4 linked regions of the Saccharomyces cerevisiae S288C genome follow. The gene in region 1 interacts genetically with each later gene. Each region holds a gene or a part of one and is shown on either strand. Other genes may lie near its edges. The genes, in order: PMP3, QRI7, UBP1 and RKM3.

Region 1 (3,934 bases):
CTGTAACTGCTTCTTTTTTTATTAAAAAACAGCATGGAGTTTTTTAATAACTTAAGGAAACATACAAAAAGATTTGTTCATTTCACTCCAAGTATTTTTTAACGTATATTGAAAGTTCTCAATAGCGAAACCACAAGCAGCAATACAAAGAGAATTTTATTCGAACGCATAGAGTACACACACTCAAAGGAATGTTTGTTTCACCACCACCAGCAACTTCGAAAAACCAAGTTTTACAACGACGTCCATTAGAATCGACTAACAGTAATCATGGGTTTGCAAGCTCCCTACAGGCCATTCCGGAAAACACGATGAGTGGCAGTGATAATGCTTCTTTTCAAAGTTTGCCACTATCAATGAGTAGCTCTCAATCCACGACTTCTTCGAGAAGAGAGAACTTTGTGAATGCTCCTCCGGAGTACACTGATAGAGCTAGAGATGAGATTAAAAAAAGATTATTGGCCTCCTCACCTAGCAGAAGGTCACATCATTCAAGCAGTATGCATTCAGCGAGCAGGAGATCAAGCGTGGCTGAAAGTGGGAGTTTACTTTCGGATAATGCCTCGTCTTATCAATCAAGTATATTTTCTGCCCCCTCTACTGTGCACACGCAACTAACTAATGACTCTTCGTTCTCCGAATTTCCTAACCACAAGTTAATCACGAGAGTGAGCCTGGATGAAGCATTACCCAAAACGTTTTATGACATGTATTCGCCAGATATTCTATTAGCAGACCCATCCAACATTCTCTGTAACGGGCGTCCCAAGTTTACCAAGAGAGAGTTATTGGATTGGGATTTAAACGATATAAGATCGTTATTGATAGTCGAGAAGTTAAGGCCCGAATGGGGTAATCAACTACCGGAAGTAATAACGGTGGGTGATAATATGCCCCAGTTTAGGTTACAATTATTACCACTATATTCTAGCGATGAGACCATAATCGCAACGTTAGTCCATTCGGATCTGTACATGGAGGCTAACTTAGATTATGAATTCAAACTAACCAGCGCCAAATATACAGTAGCGACCGCTAGAAAAAGACATGAGCATATAACTGGTAGAAATGAAGCCGTCATGAATTTGTCGAAACCGGAATGGAGAAATATCATCGAAAATTACCTCTTAAATATAGCAGTAGAGGCACAATGCAGGTTTGATTTCAAACAAAGATGCTCCGAATATAAGAAATGGAAGTTACAACAGTCCAACTTAAAAAGACCGGACATGCCCCCACCAAGCATAATACCGCGGAAAAACAGCACAGAAACAAAATCGCTTCTGAAAAAGGCTTTATTGAAGAACATTCAGTTGAAAAACCCCAATAATAACCTTGATGAATTGATGATGAGATCAAGCGCCGCAACAAATCAACAGGGAAAAAACAAAGTCAGCTTATCTAAAGAAGAAAAGGCTACGATATGGTCGCAATGTCAGGCACAAGTTTACCAAAGATTAGGATTGGATTGGCAGCCGGATTCAGTATCCTGAAGATACTAAAAAGAAACCTTCCCGATGGTTTTTTTGGAGACTCTTCGATTGTATCAATACTATCCCATGGACATCAGTTTTAATAGAGGAGCTCCAAATTCCCAAGGAATTGAGGAAGAAGCGCCAATGATTTATATATACAAACTAGCTGTTGCAGCTTTATAGAGATTTAGTAATAAGAATTTTATGGGAACGTGGTACCGTTATCGCAGTAAAGAGTCAAGGGTAGCGAAGATCAAACCATACGATGACGAAATACCTTTAGTTCTTAGCATCACCAATCGCAGACATCCAACGTATCCGTGCGCGTAATCCTTCTCTTGGTAGTTGAGCACAGCATACAGAAGAAGCCGCGCGCAAGCGGTAAATGTCTTTCCTCCGGCCTTCTAACCACCAAAACCGATCTCGGAACATGGGGGGGGGAAGGTCCTCTGAATCGAAAAACCCGAGACAGCGAGAGGGATTTTGCAGAAAATTACAAAGATCACTATTTACTGCTCCCCTCACTTCCGCAGTCCCCTAATAGCGGAAGATGCAATGGGTGTGGGCTCTGGGTGCCCTTTAACCACGCCCTCAAAAGGGGGTCCTGGTTATTTTGCGATGGGCGCCTCTATAAATACAAAAGAGGAAGTGAGTGTTTTTGTTTTGGAAGAGGGAAAGGAAAAAAAGAAGAAAATTTACTATCGGTTGTTGTTTTTCGCCAGTATAATACAATTGATTATACATTTTGAACTAAACAGCACAGCACAATACAACAATGGATTCTGCCAAGATCATTAACATTATATTATCCCTTTTCTTACCACCAGTCGCCGTTTTTCTAGCCCGTGGGTGGGGTACTGACTGTATAGTGGATATCATTTTGACCATTTTGGCTTGGTTCCCAGGTATGCTATATGCCTTGTACATTGTCCTACAAGATTAAGCTCATTCAATAAACGAAAGTAACTATCAAATGAAATAAGGAAGCAGTATTAGGAAACGGTATCAACATGTTCGGGTCACCCTCATTTTTATTTGTTTCCTTTCTTTTTTTTTGTTTCTCTTTCTCTTAAGGTTTCCTCCCCCGCTGTTAATTTTAACTACGTGTGTATTTTTTAATAATTAATTTTATCACAAAAAAAACTTCTCATCTTTTTTGCCTTTTATCATTTTTGTACTTTTTTCTTCGCTTAAAATACACATGATATAGACGCTTAACTATCTGTCCTGCAAGTTTGTTTATCTATATAAATATAGCCAGTATCATCCGTTTACCTGTGTTGTAGAGTTCCAAAAGATAGAACAGCCTTTTATCAGATGGGTGGCAGACCCTTACCCATATTATCTCTCTTATTTTGTTTTTATTTCTCTCTAGCCTTATAATTATTTTTAGTTTCCTTTCTGTAGCAATAAGTGTTCTTAGCAGTGGCGTTGCGTTGCCTTGACCTTGATTATCAATTTAAGCAGCTTTCTGCTCACAAGCCACTTCAAAACGACTCGTGAATGATTTTTCGATCAATGATATCTTATCATAATTCGGATTTGATAGGAAATCATCATCCTCTTCCTCGTAGTAGGCGTCTTCCCTCCTTTCATTAACAAGTTTATTCTGCTTCACAAATGTAACTGTACTAGTTGAATTCAAACGCCTACTTTTGTTAACACTACCTGAACTAATATCATATTCCAGACCAGCTGTAGTATGATTGATCAATGATTCTGAGGATTCATTTAGCATATTAATTATCTCCTCATCAATAACTATTTCCTCCTTTCCGCTTATGGGACCACTGGTCTTTTCTTTTCCATCTGCCACCGGTAATGATGATCTATTGTAGTGGAATAACTTGCAACCGTAATCAAGCAACCTGCACATGTAGAGGAATAGATCGATCGCGTCCAGTATGATAATAGGCAACAGCAATACGATGACACCCAAAGAGCACATCAACTGGAAAATGCCAAACATTAACATCAGTCCTGATCTTATTTCGGATAATATCCCGCAGTGCCACGTCAAAGATAGTACCTTATCAAAGGCGTGGTTGATAATAACAAGTGCTAATCGGCTATTTGACATGATCTCTTCCTTTCCTGATGAGTTCTTGGTATCGTGATCGATCACAGTTGAACCTATAAGTTTTCTAAGCTTCGGGAAAAAAAACATTGTAACTAAAGGCAATAATGGATGCAGATGCCTGGCAAGGAAGGAAGAAAAAAAGACAATAGAATGCCGTTGGTATATATTCTCCGGCTGCCCCGTCAAAGGACTTCTAAAAACTAATATCAAGAAAATCAAAAAAAAAAATCAAAAAAAAAAATAAAGGAAAAAAAAAGATCTCTATCTTTATGTCGGTAGATATGACACTCCCTTCACGTTTATCATCTCTTGAACCTTTTCTAGTTCATCTACACCGTTCCTATTATCTTTCTTTTGCCCCCTTCTCTTCCCTCGTACA
Region 2 (3,297 bases), 740 kb from region 1:
ACGAAGAAGGAATAATGACCAAGTTGGTGAAAAGATCACCGCTGAGAAAATCACTCAGCATTCTTTAAACTCCACACAGCAAGAAACTACCCCTGAACAGGTCAAGAAATGTTTCAAAAAGCTTTCAAAAAAATTAGGCCCAGAAGGTTCCATTAATCTTTTTAAATTTATTATAGACCCAAATTCATTCTCGCGATCCATCGAAAATCTTTTCTATACCAGTTTTTTGATCAAAGAGGGAAAACTATTGATGGAACACGATGAAGAAGGTTTACCCACAATTAAGATAAAACAAAGCATAAGTCACACAGATTCAAGAAGTAAAGAAATTGAGAGACAAAGGCGTCGTGCCGCTCATCAGAATCACATTATTTTTCAAATGGACATGCCTACTTGGCGAAAACTAATAAAGAAATACAACATCACTTCACCATTCTTAGACTAACAGCGATAGAGCGCTGCATATAATATGTACAGTTTTTTTTTTTTTTTTTTTTTTTTCATAGCTGGTCCGTTCTCCAACCATCAACACTTAATAGGTCATTCAATGGCCATTGCCTAATTGGACATATATCTAAATCACTAACTAATCGTAAGCTTTCCCATATCTCGATACCTGCCCAGCCGATCATAATAGAGTTGTCACTACAAAGGTCCATAGGAGGATAATAAAAATTAAAAAAGCTTGTGGAGTTCAACGTCCCCAATTCCGTTTCTAATTTTGTTCTCAACCTTTGATTACTACTCACTCCACCAGAACATACAAATTCACGCACGTTTTTAAACTTTTCCGGTTGTGACTTGAGCACGTGCTTCAGTTTATTTATTATATGGTCGAAAACAGATTCCTGTACTTGATATGCAATTGACCGTATTTCGCGTTCTGGCAGTTCCTGGATTTCTGTTTTACCTAGTTTTGTCAAATTAGTTCTTAATGCTGTGATAAATGCTGAAAACGAAAACGAAAGCATGTTTCTTTTACTAGCGCTGTTTTTTAACGGACTGGGCATTTCTAGTTTTAAAGCAAAATCTTGGTCGTTAATATCTTGATTAATAAATTTCTCCATTTCTCTAGCGATCATTGTTCCCTTGAATCCAAGCTCTCTGCCACATTTATCTAATGAGTCACCCACTGCAATATCGATAGTATCACATAATATTTCGTGATCGTCAATTGCTCGTGACAAAACAAACGTAGTATGACCACCACTAACCAGCAGGCTAACAAAGGGAAATTGAGGCACTTTTCCATTTGTACCCATTCTTGGTATCAGCAAGTGTCCCAGCATGTGATGCACACCAATCAGTGGTTTGTTCCAGGCAACAGCTAAACCTTTTGCAAAATCTAATCCTCCTGATAATGAACCAGGCATACCAGGGCCTCTTGTAACACATATGAGATCAATTCCTTCTCTCGCATTGCTTTCTATCAGGGCTCTTTCGGTTAAGGGTCCTATCCGAGCTTGGTGATGGATATGAGCCTTTGTTGGTATAATACCTCCTTCGTCAATACTATCTAAAGTATCTTTCAAATTGGCTAGCACATTAGGAGCTGCACTTTTTGAGAACCTGTCCAAAACTGAAACGCATGTATCATCGCAAGAAGTCTCAATGGCTAAAACTTTATAGCCTTTTCTTAACTGTATTGGTCTGTTGAATGCACGCCTCTGCCAAATTCTATAGTTATCGAGGAGAAATCTTCCGGTTCCTTTTATTGATATCATAATGAAAAAAAAAGTTTCTATCCTTTCTTCTACTCTACTTATTTCAGAGCTTGAGAATCGCTGTTTGCTTTAATTTCATTGTCAATTAATCATCGCGCAATGAAGATGCCACTCTTTCCATTGGCAGAGCGGATCCGCCAAATAGAAATTACATAAAACAAGTAATTTAGCTATTTTTCAGAGTACGAAATATTTTATTATATATATTGAATCACAATTACGAGTACTTTTCAATTACATGTTAAAAGTGCTTCATAAGTAGCTCAAACAGTTATTTTTCTAATACTATACCACTTCTGTCAAAGACTTTACCTTTGAACTGGGATAGATTTTCACCTGCATAACTCAATTTGCTGGAAACTTCGACTAGTACCCCATCTTTTACAATAGCGCCTGCATCTTCCAACCACGAGGTTCCTAGTTTCAAATATGCTAGTCTGCTGGTCTCAGGATTATCGTTCTTAGAACCAGGACCGTTTTTTAAAGGTGAAAATTCTTTGCATCTATCTACTTCTAAGCACCCAAACTTGTTCAGTGGTACAGTGTCAAAGACATCAAATATGAATTGCTCTAATTTTATACCGTTTGGTTCGGTAGGCTTAGTGTACTTGCCGGTAACACTATCATAAGCTGGAATTTTCTTCTTCGCAATGTGATATGGCATATTCTCACACCACTGATCCAAATCACGTTTTAGTAAATCCACTAGGTAATAATGATTTACAATGTTGCCTGCGCGTAGTTTTAATAAGCCATCTTTATCCTTTGCTTCAGCCAATTCATTGGAAATTTCAGAATATTCTATGACACATGGTTTCTCGTTTTTAGTAGCAATTAACCCAACTGATTCATGCGCATCTCTCTTTCTAACGGCTTTGGTGGCCAGTTCGAAGCCATGCTTGATGGCAAAACCAATAAATACAGGGTCTGCGATTTTAGATAGGACATTATCGACACAGTACATGTAAACATGCTTGATTCCTCTCCTATCAAAGTCTTCGTTCAACTTGTTTTCCTTGATGGCACGGTAGAGTCCACCATTTCCATCTGGTGATTGAGATAGGTTTACTGGGTCTTTCATTAGGAAATGCTTCCCGGTTAAATCAAAGGCAGGCAGGGTTCCCTGGTTGAAGAACGTAATTTGTTCTTTATTCAAGCCAAAATAATTGTGTTCTTGAAAGTATGCCTCAGTAGCCGCTCTAGTGGGGCCTGATGTCATAATATACCAAGGAATTTCTACCTTTTTGTCCTTTACCATATCTTGCAACCTGATCAACTTTTCAGCTTGAATTTGAAAAAGAGATTTCTTAGAAGGCAATCCAATGTCGTAACAGCCCTTTGGTTGAGAGGATCCTAACCGCGTACCTTGTCCGCCAGCCATTAAAATCACTGCGACTTCACCCTTGCCAATAGCTTCAAGGCCTAAACGCCAGTATTCATTTTCTTTCTTACTGTTGCCAATAAGCGACTCGTACGAAGTAGGGGGCAATGGTGAAATTTCGACGCCAGTATCCTTAGAAGAGTTAGCTAGTGAGAATTTAATAGCATTTTGACAGTCTTCCAGTAGTTTTGC
Region 3 (6,366 bases), 770 kb from region 1:
CCTCTTCATGGTATTTTTCAAGCGGTAAGTTTAACACTTCTTGAGGCACAACTTGACCATCTGTCGAGGATTCTACAAATCTCTTCTGAAAAGTATTTACAGTATGATTCTTTTTATTTGTTACAGCTGGACAAAATCTGGCACGTTCTCCTCCTGCCGCTGCTATCATATATCTTCTGCCCATTACAGAGCTGACTCGAACTAAACTTGCGAGAGACCGCTTAATCATTGCTACACTCTATCTTCTCGCTTAGTTTTTTTTGAAATACTATCTTTCTGGTATTCAGTAGTACGTAACGATTTGTAAGTGTCTTCAAGCGAGGTTGCTTTCAATTAAAAATGCGATTCAAAGAGATCATTTACGGTTACTAATCCCTCATATCCTATAGGGCTATGTGGACATTGTAAGAAACGTGACTTTTCAAATATGATCACTGAATACGGTTTTTTGAAATTTGTCAAGTGCGATGAGTTGTATCTCTAAATCAAGCACCCATGATCTACGTTTAGTAAAAGAAAAGGACGAATTCCCTTAAAGTTCTCGGTGCCTAAGTCAATAAGTCCGGAGCATGAATCTATACGGTTATTTTTTACTTCTCATTATTGTGATTGCTTTCATTGCATTGTTGCCATTGTTTTCTGGCATCGGTACATTCAAACTAACAAAACCGAAATCGTCTGCAACAGCACAGTCAGCGACTGGTAAGCTTGGTAAGAGGGAATATTTGAAAAAAAAACTTGATCATACCAATGTATTAAAGTTTGATCTGAAGGACACGGAGGAAAGCCTTGGCCATGACAGTGCAAGTGCCTCTTCCGCTTCCAGAAAATTTGAAATAGACTCAAAGACAGGCCTTAAAAGACGTGTAATTGGACAGTACAACAAAGATCCAAATGATTTCGATTTCGATATTGATGACCTAATTAACGAAGATGAACTAGATGAACGGAGAGAAGAAGAGAAAAAGTTGAAGAAGTACAATGGTAAGAAAAATGAAGCTTACGAAGGATTTGTATAATAATGGAAGTGATTTTTGCAATTGTCCTACAAAAACTTTAGACATTCGTAACTAGCTAAACAATTGATTTAACGAATAACGTAGACTTTTAATTATTCAATTTAATTATAGTTATTGTTATTTACACAATTACGGATATCGTATTTATAACTTAGTTTACATCTTTACCAGAAATATCTCTATGGTCTTCTGTTCTCTCGAACTTCATCTGCTCTTGACCTTCCTCTTGCTCTTCACCTTCTCCTTGCTCTTGGCTTTCCTTTGGCTCCTGGACTCCTTTTTGCTCCTGCTCTTTTTCATCATCTTCTTCATTATTACTCTGAATAGCTTCCAAATCATCCTTCATCTTCCCAGTTTCTTCATCAAAGTCATATTCGTAAAATAACATAAATACACCGGGTGTTGAAAGGACTTCAGCTTCGTCCACAACGTACACAGTCTCATCAGATATTCTCCACCAACAACCCCTGTATTTTCTAAATGCAATGTAATGACCATAATTATGGGTACCGTAGTGAACAATGACAGAGCGCAATGAATATGTCAATGGAGTGGCTGGAACTGTGGAAAATGACCTAGCATAATTGATAGGTGGAGCTGGTATAACATCTTCCTCATCAGATGATGTTTCTAGTTGATCTTCAACATTGATCTTTGGTTCGTCAAGGCTCACATTGTCGATTTCTTGCAGTTCTTCATTATCTTTTACATTCTCGTTTTCAACATCAGAATGTTCTATGATCCTTTTTTTGATTGTATTCCCTAAAGCATCGGTTTCTTCAATGTACTCATCTTCATCATCGGATGTCACGCCATCGACTTCACCGTTTAGGGGATCATAGTTACTGATATCCTTGGTATGATTGTAATGAGACGCATAGTTCCCCTCTGCGTCATCGTATTCTTTTTCTTCCTCGCTGTCTTCAAATTCCTGCTCGAAGCGTTCATGTAATTTCGTATAGTATTCACCGCCAATGTTTTCATCTTCACTTGAATCTTGTTGCGCAGCTTTTTCCTTTTTTGACATTGGCAAACGAGCATCCAAATTGATTTCATTAATATCACAACACCATGGGGCAAGATTCAACCTTGACTTAAACAATACTTTCGAGTTATTTTTTCTAATCATGTACGTTCTTGGATCAAATACGGATCTGTTGATATGAATGGATAATAATGGTGGAGGTCTTGATATTAAAATCTGCTTAGATTTAGAGCATTTACGTACCATATTTGCTGTATGCAACTTCTTATAATCTTCATCGTCAATAACTGGTTTGGCAAGAACTTCTTCGATTTGATGGACCCTATCTTTTACAGCGTTAATTAACTTTTCTGGGATCGAACCCTCAGGTTTTTTTTCAAATTCTTTCAACTGACCAAATAAATGAGAGTGCGCTGCTGTGAGGGCACAACGGTTACATTCTACGCCTTCGATGATTTCAGGTTTACTCCAGTCGCTTAATAACTGAGATAATTTTAAAGTGGAACCAATATTCTCGTTCGGTAAATTTAAGCTTAATCCCGAAAATACGGAATATCTTATGCCACCGTTCTCACCACACTGTAAACAACCAATTCTTTCTGCCGTGATACCATCTAAAGGAGTCATTAGTTTGAAAGGTGTGAAATTTTGAATGGACTTGTCATGTAGTATAGAGTTAGGATCAATCTGTTCAGTTGGAATGTAAACAGTGCCAACTTCACCAAGGTTAAGTTGACCTACTAAAGCATCATCGGGTAATTCTGATTTCGCAACTGGAGTGGTATCTAGTTTTTCAGTATTCAATGATTTAACGTTACTTTCCAACTCGGCTAGTATGTTCTGGAAGAATTCTTGCGCGTCCTCTTGGTCGTAGCCAAGAAGAATATTTTTTCTTGGAGATTTGGACATTGCTTTCAATAAACTATTGGTTTTGAAATAGGGTTTATCCCGATAATACTTCGCATTTAAGGCAGAAAGTAGATCCCTTAAGGCGACACTGAAAGTGATATCTGGCTCCTGGCTCTTTTCTTCGTCTTCTTTCGAACTTGACTTCCTATTCAATTTCTTCTTATGCTTACCATAAACTTTGCCACCCTTACGAGTGTTTTTCTTATGAGTGGCTTCATCTTGAGCAGATTCTTGCCCGTTTCCTTCTTCATTGTGTTCATTTTGTTCTATCTCCTCATAGGTCCTTATGACATTATTGTCCAAGAACTCCATTAATTCTCTGGATGATGCCAATGATTGCAAAACAGAGTTCATAAAACAAGTGTTACCATCATTAACTAAACCAGCAATGAAACCACCTCTTTTCAAGATCTCTTCGTCTAAGTGGGTAAACTTACTTCTGGGCAACCAACGGCTAAGGCTATTATTATTTCTGAAGTTTGTTGTCATTTCACTAACGCTCTCAACAATGTAGTTTAGATGGTCTGGTTTTTTATAAAAAAATACTACTATGCCAAAAATTAATAAATAAATCGATAGATTGTTATTGTTGTTACTCCAAGTTTTAAAATTTCTCAAAAAATCCTGTCGGGAACCAAATAAAAATTGTAATAAACTGTTTATCTTGCTTTCAATAAACAAATCCATACAAAATTTTGTAGATTAAAAGGGGAGAAGTGTTCGAAAGTATCTAGTTTCGAACAAGGGAGGGCACTGAAGACGTAAAATGATCAGACGTTATAATGGAAAAGAAAGGAGAAGCGAATTTTGACAATCGCTTCTATTCTTTGAATGTGTATAAAATTTTTTTTTCCTGAGAAAAAAAAGGACGCAGATCACAATATTAAAAGCAATACTATGGCGTGCTTTTAAAGCAAAAAATGTTTCTGTTTTTTAAATATATAACCAATAATTATTGTATAATAGATTTAACTAGCCTGGCCATCTTGAAAATTTTGTGGTGCTAGTGAAAAATGTATTTTCGTTTTCCAATGATGGAAAAAGAAACTTGCCTACATAGATGTCATTCTGTACGTAAAGAGGAAAAGAAGGGATATAGCAGAATACACGTATGAAGGTAGGAAGGTTTCCAACAGGCGCTTACTGGTAGTATGATATATGGACATTCAGTGACGTTTATGGGAAAAACATTACGGCTTACAGATCCGCAAAATAGTTATAGGCTCGAGGGAGCTGGCGGTATTGATCGAAGAAGCTGTCAAAATGAAATACATTTCTTAATGGCAGCTCTTTTACTTTGACTGGCAAACCTCTTTGCTAAGGAAGATCATAGGAAAGAGAAGAACGGTCTTCGCTTGCTTGCTTGCTGGAATTTTCATTTTCCTTGCTGTAGCTTCATCATGGCACATAAGGAGGAGGAGACTCAACCAGAGACTGTTTGTTGTCATGGGGAGCTGCGCCTTGTAACAGAGGAGTTTCAACGCTCGGGTATACGTTTCTAGCGGAGCTTCCTTGTTGTGGGCGGTTTTGGGGGGTCTGCGAGTTTTGAGGACGATTCGAAGGAACGTTTCTTTCGCTATCCACCCAGCCTTGCTGGTAATAATAGACGTATTCAGCGTTCCTTAAAGGACTTGTAATTGTGATGTAGTAGAATGCGTGTAACATACCGGGCAAAAATCCCAGTAGCGTTAGCAATACATTCAGGAGGAAATCAGATGAACAAGGCCCAGATCGAAGAAGGACTGCAGCTGGGGGGAAAAAAAACGCAACAATATACAGTATAAAGTCAGAAACGGTACAACAAACACAGTAGCAACACATGATGCGCGTCCCTATCTGTCTCTGCTCAGTGTGGCACCTTTATTGGGGAGATGCCCTCTTCCGGTATTTTTTGATGGCCTTTTATATAATGTACAGCCCTTTTTTCTTCCTCGATGCTGAAAAGTGGCGGGATGGGTAACGGGGTGATAAACCTGACAAAAAAAGTCGATTAATAAAGTTATACAAAACAAATATGACTCGTACATAAATTATCCGGTATTTATACTTTTTGAGCAGCGTAGTTGTATTTACCGTACAATTTATTCCAATACAATCTTAGCGGTTCATGTTCCAAGCCCAACTCCGTTATCTTATCGACTTCCTCAGCCGTCAAGTCGAAAGAGAATAAATTTTGCGCGTCAGAAATTCTTTGAGGTTTGGAAGAGGTGGTTACAGGCAACACGCCACGTTTGGTCACCCAACGTAGGATAATTTGGGCTTCAGATTTGATATATTTCTCGGATAACTCTTTCACGTATTCGAAAAACGGTTGAGAGTCATCTTGTGCTGTTTTCTTTTGTAAGGGACCTAGTGGCGAGTATGCTTCTACCAATATATCATGTTCTTGGCAAAATTTGTAGATCCCTGGTGTTTGATTCTGCAAGAAGGGACTGAACTCAATTTGATTAACTTGGGGCTTGACTTCCGCAACTTTCAGAATTCTTTGCAAGTCTTCCACAGCAAAGTTGGAAACACCGATATTTTTAGCTTTACCTGATTTGTACAATTGCTCCATGTCCTTCCAGGCTTCCTCCAAACTTAACCCGTTGACCTCTTTGGAAACAAATGGGCTATGCAAAAGGTATAGATCGACATAGTCAGTGCCCATCTTCTTCAAAGCTAAATCTAGTCCATCCGCTGGGGAATCTGACATCTTGATTTGAGGTGAGTACTTGTCTGTCAAGAATATTGCATTTCTTGGTTTTTCGGTGAGGCTAAGTGCCTTCCCAACTTCTGGATATGTTCTGTAGATCTCAGCAGCATCAATGTGAATAATGCCAGGTAACTTCAGAGCATAAACAATCTGTTCGACCAAACTGTTCGAAAAGGTAGCATCCGTTTCTTCGTTTTTATACCATCTAGTACCTGTCCCAATGATGGCGATTGCGGGGATTTTATTTCCATTATTCAAGGTAAAGAACTGTTGGTGAAATGACATCTGTAAAAGTGTTGTTAACTGACCTCCGTTTCTTTAGGGTAACACAACCGTTTACATGTGTATCCATATCCACGTAGTATCCGACTATCAATATATCCGTATATATATATATATATATATGGGATGAGCGTATGTGAGTGTTTTCGTAGATATTCAAAATACGAGTAAAGGAGATCCTAGGTGTGGATTAGTAAGGGGAGTGTGGCAACTTCCTTTTTCCGGTTAATTCTCCGCGCTTTCGTTAGACTATTTTGCAAGGACCCAAATAGGAGACGCATGGAGGCTTCTACAAAACAGCGTGCCGTTTTGATGGCATGAGCAGGGGGCGCAAAGGAAACACCGGTAAATCGCGCAAGACCTTGTTGGCCACGTAGCCTCAAAGGTTGAATTGACACTTGTCTACAGAACTTGAAAAGTACAAAAGGAGGTCACATAAAACAGTAAGCTTGAGAAGCTTTAAGATATGGTGCGAA
Region 4 (5,707 bases), on another chromosome or scaffold:
TTAAAATCGTGCAGGTTCCTTGATAATTCATTTTCTCCAATATTAGAGGAAATAATGTCCTGAGGTGTTATGGATAGTCTATTCGTATTAGTTCGCATTGCGTCCGAACCTGTAATAGAAAATCTTCTCGTATTTGGTGGAGTGAGAATAGGGAATTTGGAATAAGCTGAGGACCTTCTTCTCATCCTATGTGCAGGACTCATGCCATTTAGCGGAATCGCATTTGAATGAACCGAGAGGTGATTTATACTCTCCTCATATGTGATGGAGCTGCCTTGTTCATGATTGATATCATTGTATATTGCCGAGGAATAATCTACTTTAATGTCATTCTTTTTATCATCTAGTGACACACGATGAAGTTCTTCATCTAGTGAGAAAATCATCCTAATTACTGCCAACAGTATGCTCAGCTAGATTGGTTGATGAAAAATCTTATCATAGGGCACCTTCCAGGTAAAAGATCTACTTACTATTAGTCAGTACGTCCTTTTTTCATTTGTTTATAATTTTTTTTTTTTTTTTTTTTTTCTCCTCTCAATATTTTAGAAGTAACATGACAGAGCAACACGTTTATTTTCCTACATATAGTCATAAGTATAAAAACGAGCGAGAAATTTTGTTAAAGAATTGATATCATATTTTATAATTTACATAAACTAAATAGGGAAAGAGTAGTATAGCGTGCATAAGTTTGAAAAAAAAAAACTATTCATACACTCATATATACTTTTATATGGTCTTTTTTATATTCAAGAGTGATTGGTCAATGATTTCTTGGTCACATTAAAGATGTCAGCCAACTTTTCAAAATTCTTCGCTGATATTATACCTTTTTTAGATAGGAATCTAATCAAGATATCAATCAATTCTATAATCTGCTTGTCGTTCAGGTTCATTAAAATAGTGGATAAAACTGTATCTACTGTTATTCTGTGTTCGCTGATGAATGTTTCATAGTACAAATTGGCAAAAGAACCCATTATGAATTGGCAATCAACCCTGTCTGTGATACCACCATGGCCTGGGATGGAGTGGCCAAAGTCTTTAACTTTAAAAGTTCTCTTTAGACCAGATGCGAAAAAGCCTCCAAATGGCGCAAATAATGATGCAAAGGTAGCTAAGTTTAAAGCATGGAAATAAATTGGTTTTACTGTAATTGAATTGATTTGAACTTTATCGAAAAAGATGGGTGGAAGTCTGTAAACTTGTGGAAGGAAAACTGGGTTTAGTTCACATGTCAAATTAGAGAAAAAATTGGTATGGAGATCTTCAACAGGGCACGTCAAGTAAGTATAAGGGCTCAGAATCCTTGTTAATATAATACTAGCTAGAGCAGTGAAAAACCAGGCACCAAGGAAACCTTCTAAAGTTTTCTTGGGCGAGATTTCTATTAGTTTAGTCTTACCGAATGTAATGCCGCACAGGTAGGCGAAGATATCATTAACAATTACCAACCCGCATGGTAATAAGAACCAGAATAGCCCATTGAGCACGTTTTTGATGATCAAATGAGCCTGAAATACTACCAGAAGAAGAACCATATGAGTAACGCACAATGATCCGAACTGGAATTTCAAAAATCCCTTTCTTAAACTACAAACGAACAGAACAAATCCCATAAGATAGAGACAATAGCAGATAAACTTATGATTTGTTACGATAAAGTTCAATACAGGATACTCGTAAAAAGTAGCTTGGAAAAACTTGAAGAGTGATTTCCCATCTAAGTAATAGATAGTGGTGAAGAGAAGGTACCAGTTCAACGTCTTTGTCAATGGCAAATTCTTTTCGCGACCAGATGCACTTGTTACGGCAATACACTCTTTAAAAGTAGCAATTTGGCAGCCCAAAATCAGCACTATACACCATGCATGACCCGATGCTAAGGTGATGAAGAAACCACTGATCATAACAAACGTCCAAACTGTTCTAATGAAAAAGTTGTATTTCCTGCTTTCCTTTGTAGCAGCAGTGCTTTCCTTGGTCACCGGCGTGACGGATTCGCTGGCGTCCTTGTGGAGTTCTTCTTGCAATTTATCAATCGCCTTTGAGGTGGCGTCAGTAACCGACTCCACAATCTCCTTGCTCGTACCATGTGGTTTCATCTCAGGGTTGTCAGACATTTTAGGTATATGGAAGTGGAACAGTTAAGTATGACAGGTTCGCTGTTTGGGAAGATACTTGGCAAGAAGTGCGTCTTCACAATCTGGCTTACACTAAATAACAATATTGATGAATGCTCCCCCATGCTGTTTACAGTTCTCGATTGTTACACTTTTCACATGTCATCCCATCTGAAAAATTTTCAAGAAGGGTATCCGTTGATAATGACTGTCAAATACATAGCGATATAGTACCAATATACAGTGCCTGAAAACGCCTGGAATAAGCCAAAGCGATCAAGGTGGAGCTCCTGCAGATTGGTTTAGAAAGTAGTGTATTGATAGTTATTTACATGGGCGTTTGTTTATGATTCTTTGTGCCTAATATATCCACGTTCTCCGTTGAATTCTGAGATGTACTGCATCAAAATAGCGAAAAACGAGCAATAAATATCAGAAAATCAAATGAAGTATACTCGATGAAGGCAGCTGAGATGAGGTGGCAGATACAATAAGAAAGATTTGTTGCCATATATAATAGCAATTAAAAAATAAATTTGAAAGAGTGAGATGTCCGTAACTTTTAAGGACGATGTTCATCGGATTCTGAAGTTTGTTGCTAATTGCAATGGCAGGTTTGAAGATTCCAAATGTGATATAAGAGAATCGCCTCTCGGTGGATTGGGTGTCTTTGCAAAGACTGATATTGCAGAAGGTGAGTCAATATTGACGTTGAACAAATCCTCGATTTTTTCTGCATCTAACAGCTCCATTGCCAATTTGTTATGTGACAGTAGCATCGATGGAATGTTAGCTCTAAACATCGCATTCATTTACGAAACTACAGTTTTCAGAAATTCTAGTCATTGGTACCCATTTCTGCGAACTATCCGAATTCGTGATGACGAAGGGCACTTAAACCTGCCGCCAAGCTTTTGGCATGCGGATGCTAAGCGACTTTTAAAAGGAACCAGTTTCGATACCTTATTCGATTCGTTGGCACCAGAAGAAGAAATCATGGAAGGATTTGAAATTGCTGTGGATTTGGCACACAAATGGAACGACGAGTTTGGGTTGGAAATTCCAAAAGGCTTCCTAGACGTTAGTGAGGAGAATCATGAAGAAGATTACAATTTGAAATTAGAAAAGTTTATATCGGTGGCATATACTTTATCATCAAGAGGATTTGAAATTGACGCGTACCATGAGACAGCTTTGGTGCCCATCGCAGACCTGTTCAATCATCATGTTTCCGACCCGGATTTAAAGTTTGTATCGCTATATGATGTGTGCGATAAATGTGGTGAACCAGACATGTGTAAACATCTCATAGCAGAGGAATACTTGGAAGCAGAAAATCTAGACAAAAATATGCCCAAAGTCGCAAGTATGGAGACTCGTGTCATCGATGAAGACTTAATCAAAAGTTTAGAAAATGATTTAGAGAAAGAATACTCTAATGTTACGGCAAACATCGAGGATGATGATGGCGGTATTGAAAACCCTGACGAATGTGTCGATTTAGTGTTAAAGAATGACGTCGCACAAGGCCAAGAAATATTTAATTCCTATGGTGAGCTCTCAAACGTCTTTTTGTTGGCCAGATATGGTTTCACCGTACCTGAGAATCAGTATGATATTGTTCATTTAGGACCTGATTTTATGAAAATCTTAAAGAAAGAAGAAAAATATCAAGAAAAAGTCAAGTGGTGGAGCCAAGTCGGTCATGGCTTGTTTTCAGCATGGTATGCTCAAATGCGCCAAGAAGATGAAGAAGACGAAGACGGTCAAGCAAAATCAGACAATCTGTCTGACGATATAGAGAGCGAAGAGGAAGAGGAAGAGGAAGAGGGTGATGATAGCTTGGAATCATGGCTTTCCCAGCTTTACATAGACTCAAGTGGCGAGCCTTCACCCTCAACGTGGGCCTTAGCTAACCTTTTGACTTTAACGGCCGTTCAATGGGAATCATTGTTTTCCAAAAAGGCCACTCCTCACATCAGTGATTCTATAGTTAACGAAGAAAAGCTGCCCTTCCTGGCCAAAAAAGACAATCCCCATTCCAAGAAACTGCTTTCCAACTTACTTAAGGAAAAGCAACTACCTTGCATAAAAGGCGACAACTCGTCAAAGATAACAAGTGCTACTAAAAGCATGCTCCAAAATGCTCGAACACTTGTACAATCGGAGCATAATATCTTAGATAGATGTCTCAAGAGACTATCCTAAATAATATTGAATATGCACTTTTACTATATTAATATCACGTCACACGACGCACAGTGAGAAGTGAAAAATTTTTTTTCAATCTGAAAAAAAAAAAAAAAAAAAAAAAAAATTTATATAAACGAATGGTATCTCCATCACATTTCTTTTAGCCTCGCAACTTGTACTTTTCATCACTTTTCTTGTAATTTAGCAATATCCCAAGAACAATCATCGAAATGTCCCGTCCACAAGTTACTGTTCACTCTTTGACTGGTGAAGCTACTGCCAATGCCTTGCCATTGCCAGCTGTCTTCTCCGCTCCTATCCGTCCAGACATTGTCCACACTGTTTTCACCTCTGTGAACAAGAACAAGAGACAAGCTTACGCTGTTTCTGAAAAGGCTGGTCACCAAACCTCCGCTGAATCCTGGGGTACCGGTCGTGCCGTCGCTCGTATTCCAAGAGTTGGTGGTGGTGGTACCGGTAGATCCGGTCAAGGTGCCTTCGGTAACATGTGTCGTGGTGGTCGTATGTTTGCTCCAACTAAGACCTGGAGAAAGTGGAACGTTAAGGTTAACCACAACGAAAAGCGTTACGCCACTGCTTCTGCTATTGCTGCTACTGCTGTTGCCTCTTTGGTCTTGGCCAGAGGTCACAGAGTCGAAAAGATTCCAGAAATCCCATTGGTTGTCTCCACTGACTTGGAATCTATTCAAAAGACCAAGGAAGCTGTTGCTGCTTTGAAGGCTGTTGGTGCTCACTCCGACTTGTTGAAGGTCTTGAAGTCCAAGAAATTGAGAGCCGGTAAGGGTAAGTACAGAAACAGAAGATGGACTCAAAGAAGAGGTCCATTAGTTGTCTACGCTGAAGACAACGGTATCGTCAAGGCCTTGAGAAACGTTCCAGGTGTTGAAACTGCCAACGTTGCTTCTTTGAACTTGTTGCAATTGGCTCCAGGTGCTCACTTGGGTAGATTCGTTATCTGGACCGAAGCTGCTTTCACCAAGTTGGACCAAGTCTGGGGTTCCGAAACCGTTGCCTCCTCCAAGGTCGGCTACACTTTGCCATCCCATATCATCTCCACTTCTGATGTCACCAGAATTATCAACTCTTCCGAAATCCAATCTGCTATCAGACCAGCTGGCCAAGCTACTCAAAAGCGTACTCACGTTTTGAAGAAGAACCCATTGAAGAACAAGCAAGTCTTGTTGAGATTGAACCCTTACGCCAAGGTCTTTGCTGCTGAAAAGCTAGGTTCCAAGAAGGCTGAAAAGACTGGTACCAAGCCAGCTGCTGTTTTCACCGAAACTTTGAAACACGATTAAACTTATTAGTACATTAAAAATATTCTTTTATTTTTTATATACATACATAAGCCTTTAATACCTTTAAAG

Evidence for each region.
Region 2: mutations in PMP3 (region 1) and QRI7 together harm fitness more than expected from each alone (negative genetic interaction), as found in Saccharomyces cerevisiae (2 studies listed by BioGRID).
Region 3: mutations in PMP3 (region 1) and UBP1 together harm fitness more than expected from each alone (negative genetic interaction), as found in Saccharomyces cerevisiae (2 studies listed by BioGRID).
Region 4: mutations in PMP3 (region 1) and RKM3 together harm fitness more than expected from each alone (negative genetic interaction), as found in Saccharomyces cerevisiae (2 studies listed by BioGRID).

Annotation. Positions count from the first base shown.
Region 1 is NC_001136.10:1,011,960-1,015,893, reverse strand, and holds PMP3 (Pmp3p), read left to right. Parts: upstream 1-2,250; coding exon 2,251-2,418; downstream 2,419-3,934. Other genes in the region: MTH1 (Mth1p), read left to right, coding at 192-1,493; triglyceride-associated lipolysis regulator TLD1, read right to left, coding at 2,935-3,642; YDR274C (uncharacterized protein), read left to right, coding at 3,934-3,934. UniProt on the Saccharomyces cerevisiae protein: Plays a role in the regulation of membrane potential. Could mediate a proton leak.
Region 2 is NC_001136.10:273,153-276,449, forward strand, and holds QRI7 (putative N(6)-L-threonylcarbamoyladenine synthase), read right to left. Parts: upstream 1,725-3,297; coding exon 501-1,724; downstream 1-500. Other genes in the region: Smc5-Smc6 complex subunit NSE4, read left to right, coding at 1-445; QRI1 (UDP-N-acetylglucosamine diphosphorylase), read right to left, coding at 1,996-3,297. UniProt on the Saccharomyces cerevisiae protein: Required for the formation of a threonylcarbamoyl group on adenosine at position 37 (t(6)A37) in mitochondrial tRNAs that read codons beginning with adenine.
Region 3 is NC_001136.10:239,786-246,151, reverse strand, and holds UBP1 (ubiquitin-specific protease UBP1), read right to left. Parts: upstream 3,601-6,366; coding exon 1,171-3,600; downstream 1-1,170. Other genes in the region: YFH1 (ferroxidase), read right to left, coding at 1-229; EXP1 (Exp1p), read left to right, coding at 570-1,019; SNA4 (Sna4p), read right to left, coding at 4,312-4,734; YDL124W (aldo-keto reductase superfamily protein), read right to left, coding at 4,955-5,893. UniProt on the Saccharomyces cerevisiae protein: Has an ATP-independent isopeptidase activity, cleaving at the C-terminus of the ubiquitin moiety in natural or engineered linear fusion proteins, irrespective of their size or the presence of an N-terminal extension to ubiquitin.
Region 4 is NC_001134.8:295,617-301,323, forward strand, and holds RKM3 (protein-lysine N-methyltransferase), read left to right. Parts: upstream 1-2,675; coding exon 2,676-4,334; downstream 4,335-5,707. Other genes in the region: putative protein kinase YPK3, read right to left, coding at 1-386; CDS1 (phosphatidate cytidylyltransferase), read right to left, coding at 753-2,126; 60S ribosomal protein uL4 RPL4A, read left to right, coding at 4,550-5,638. UniProt on the Saccharomyces cerevisiae protein: S-adenosyl-L-methionine-dependent protein-lysine N-methyltransferase that monomethylates 60S ribosomal protein L42 (RPL42A and RPL42B) at 'Lys-40'.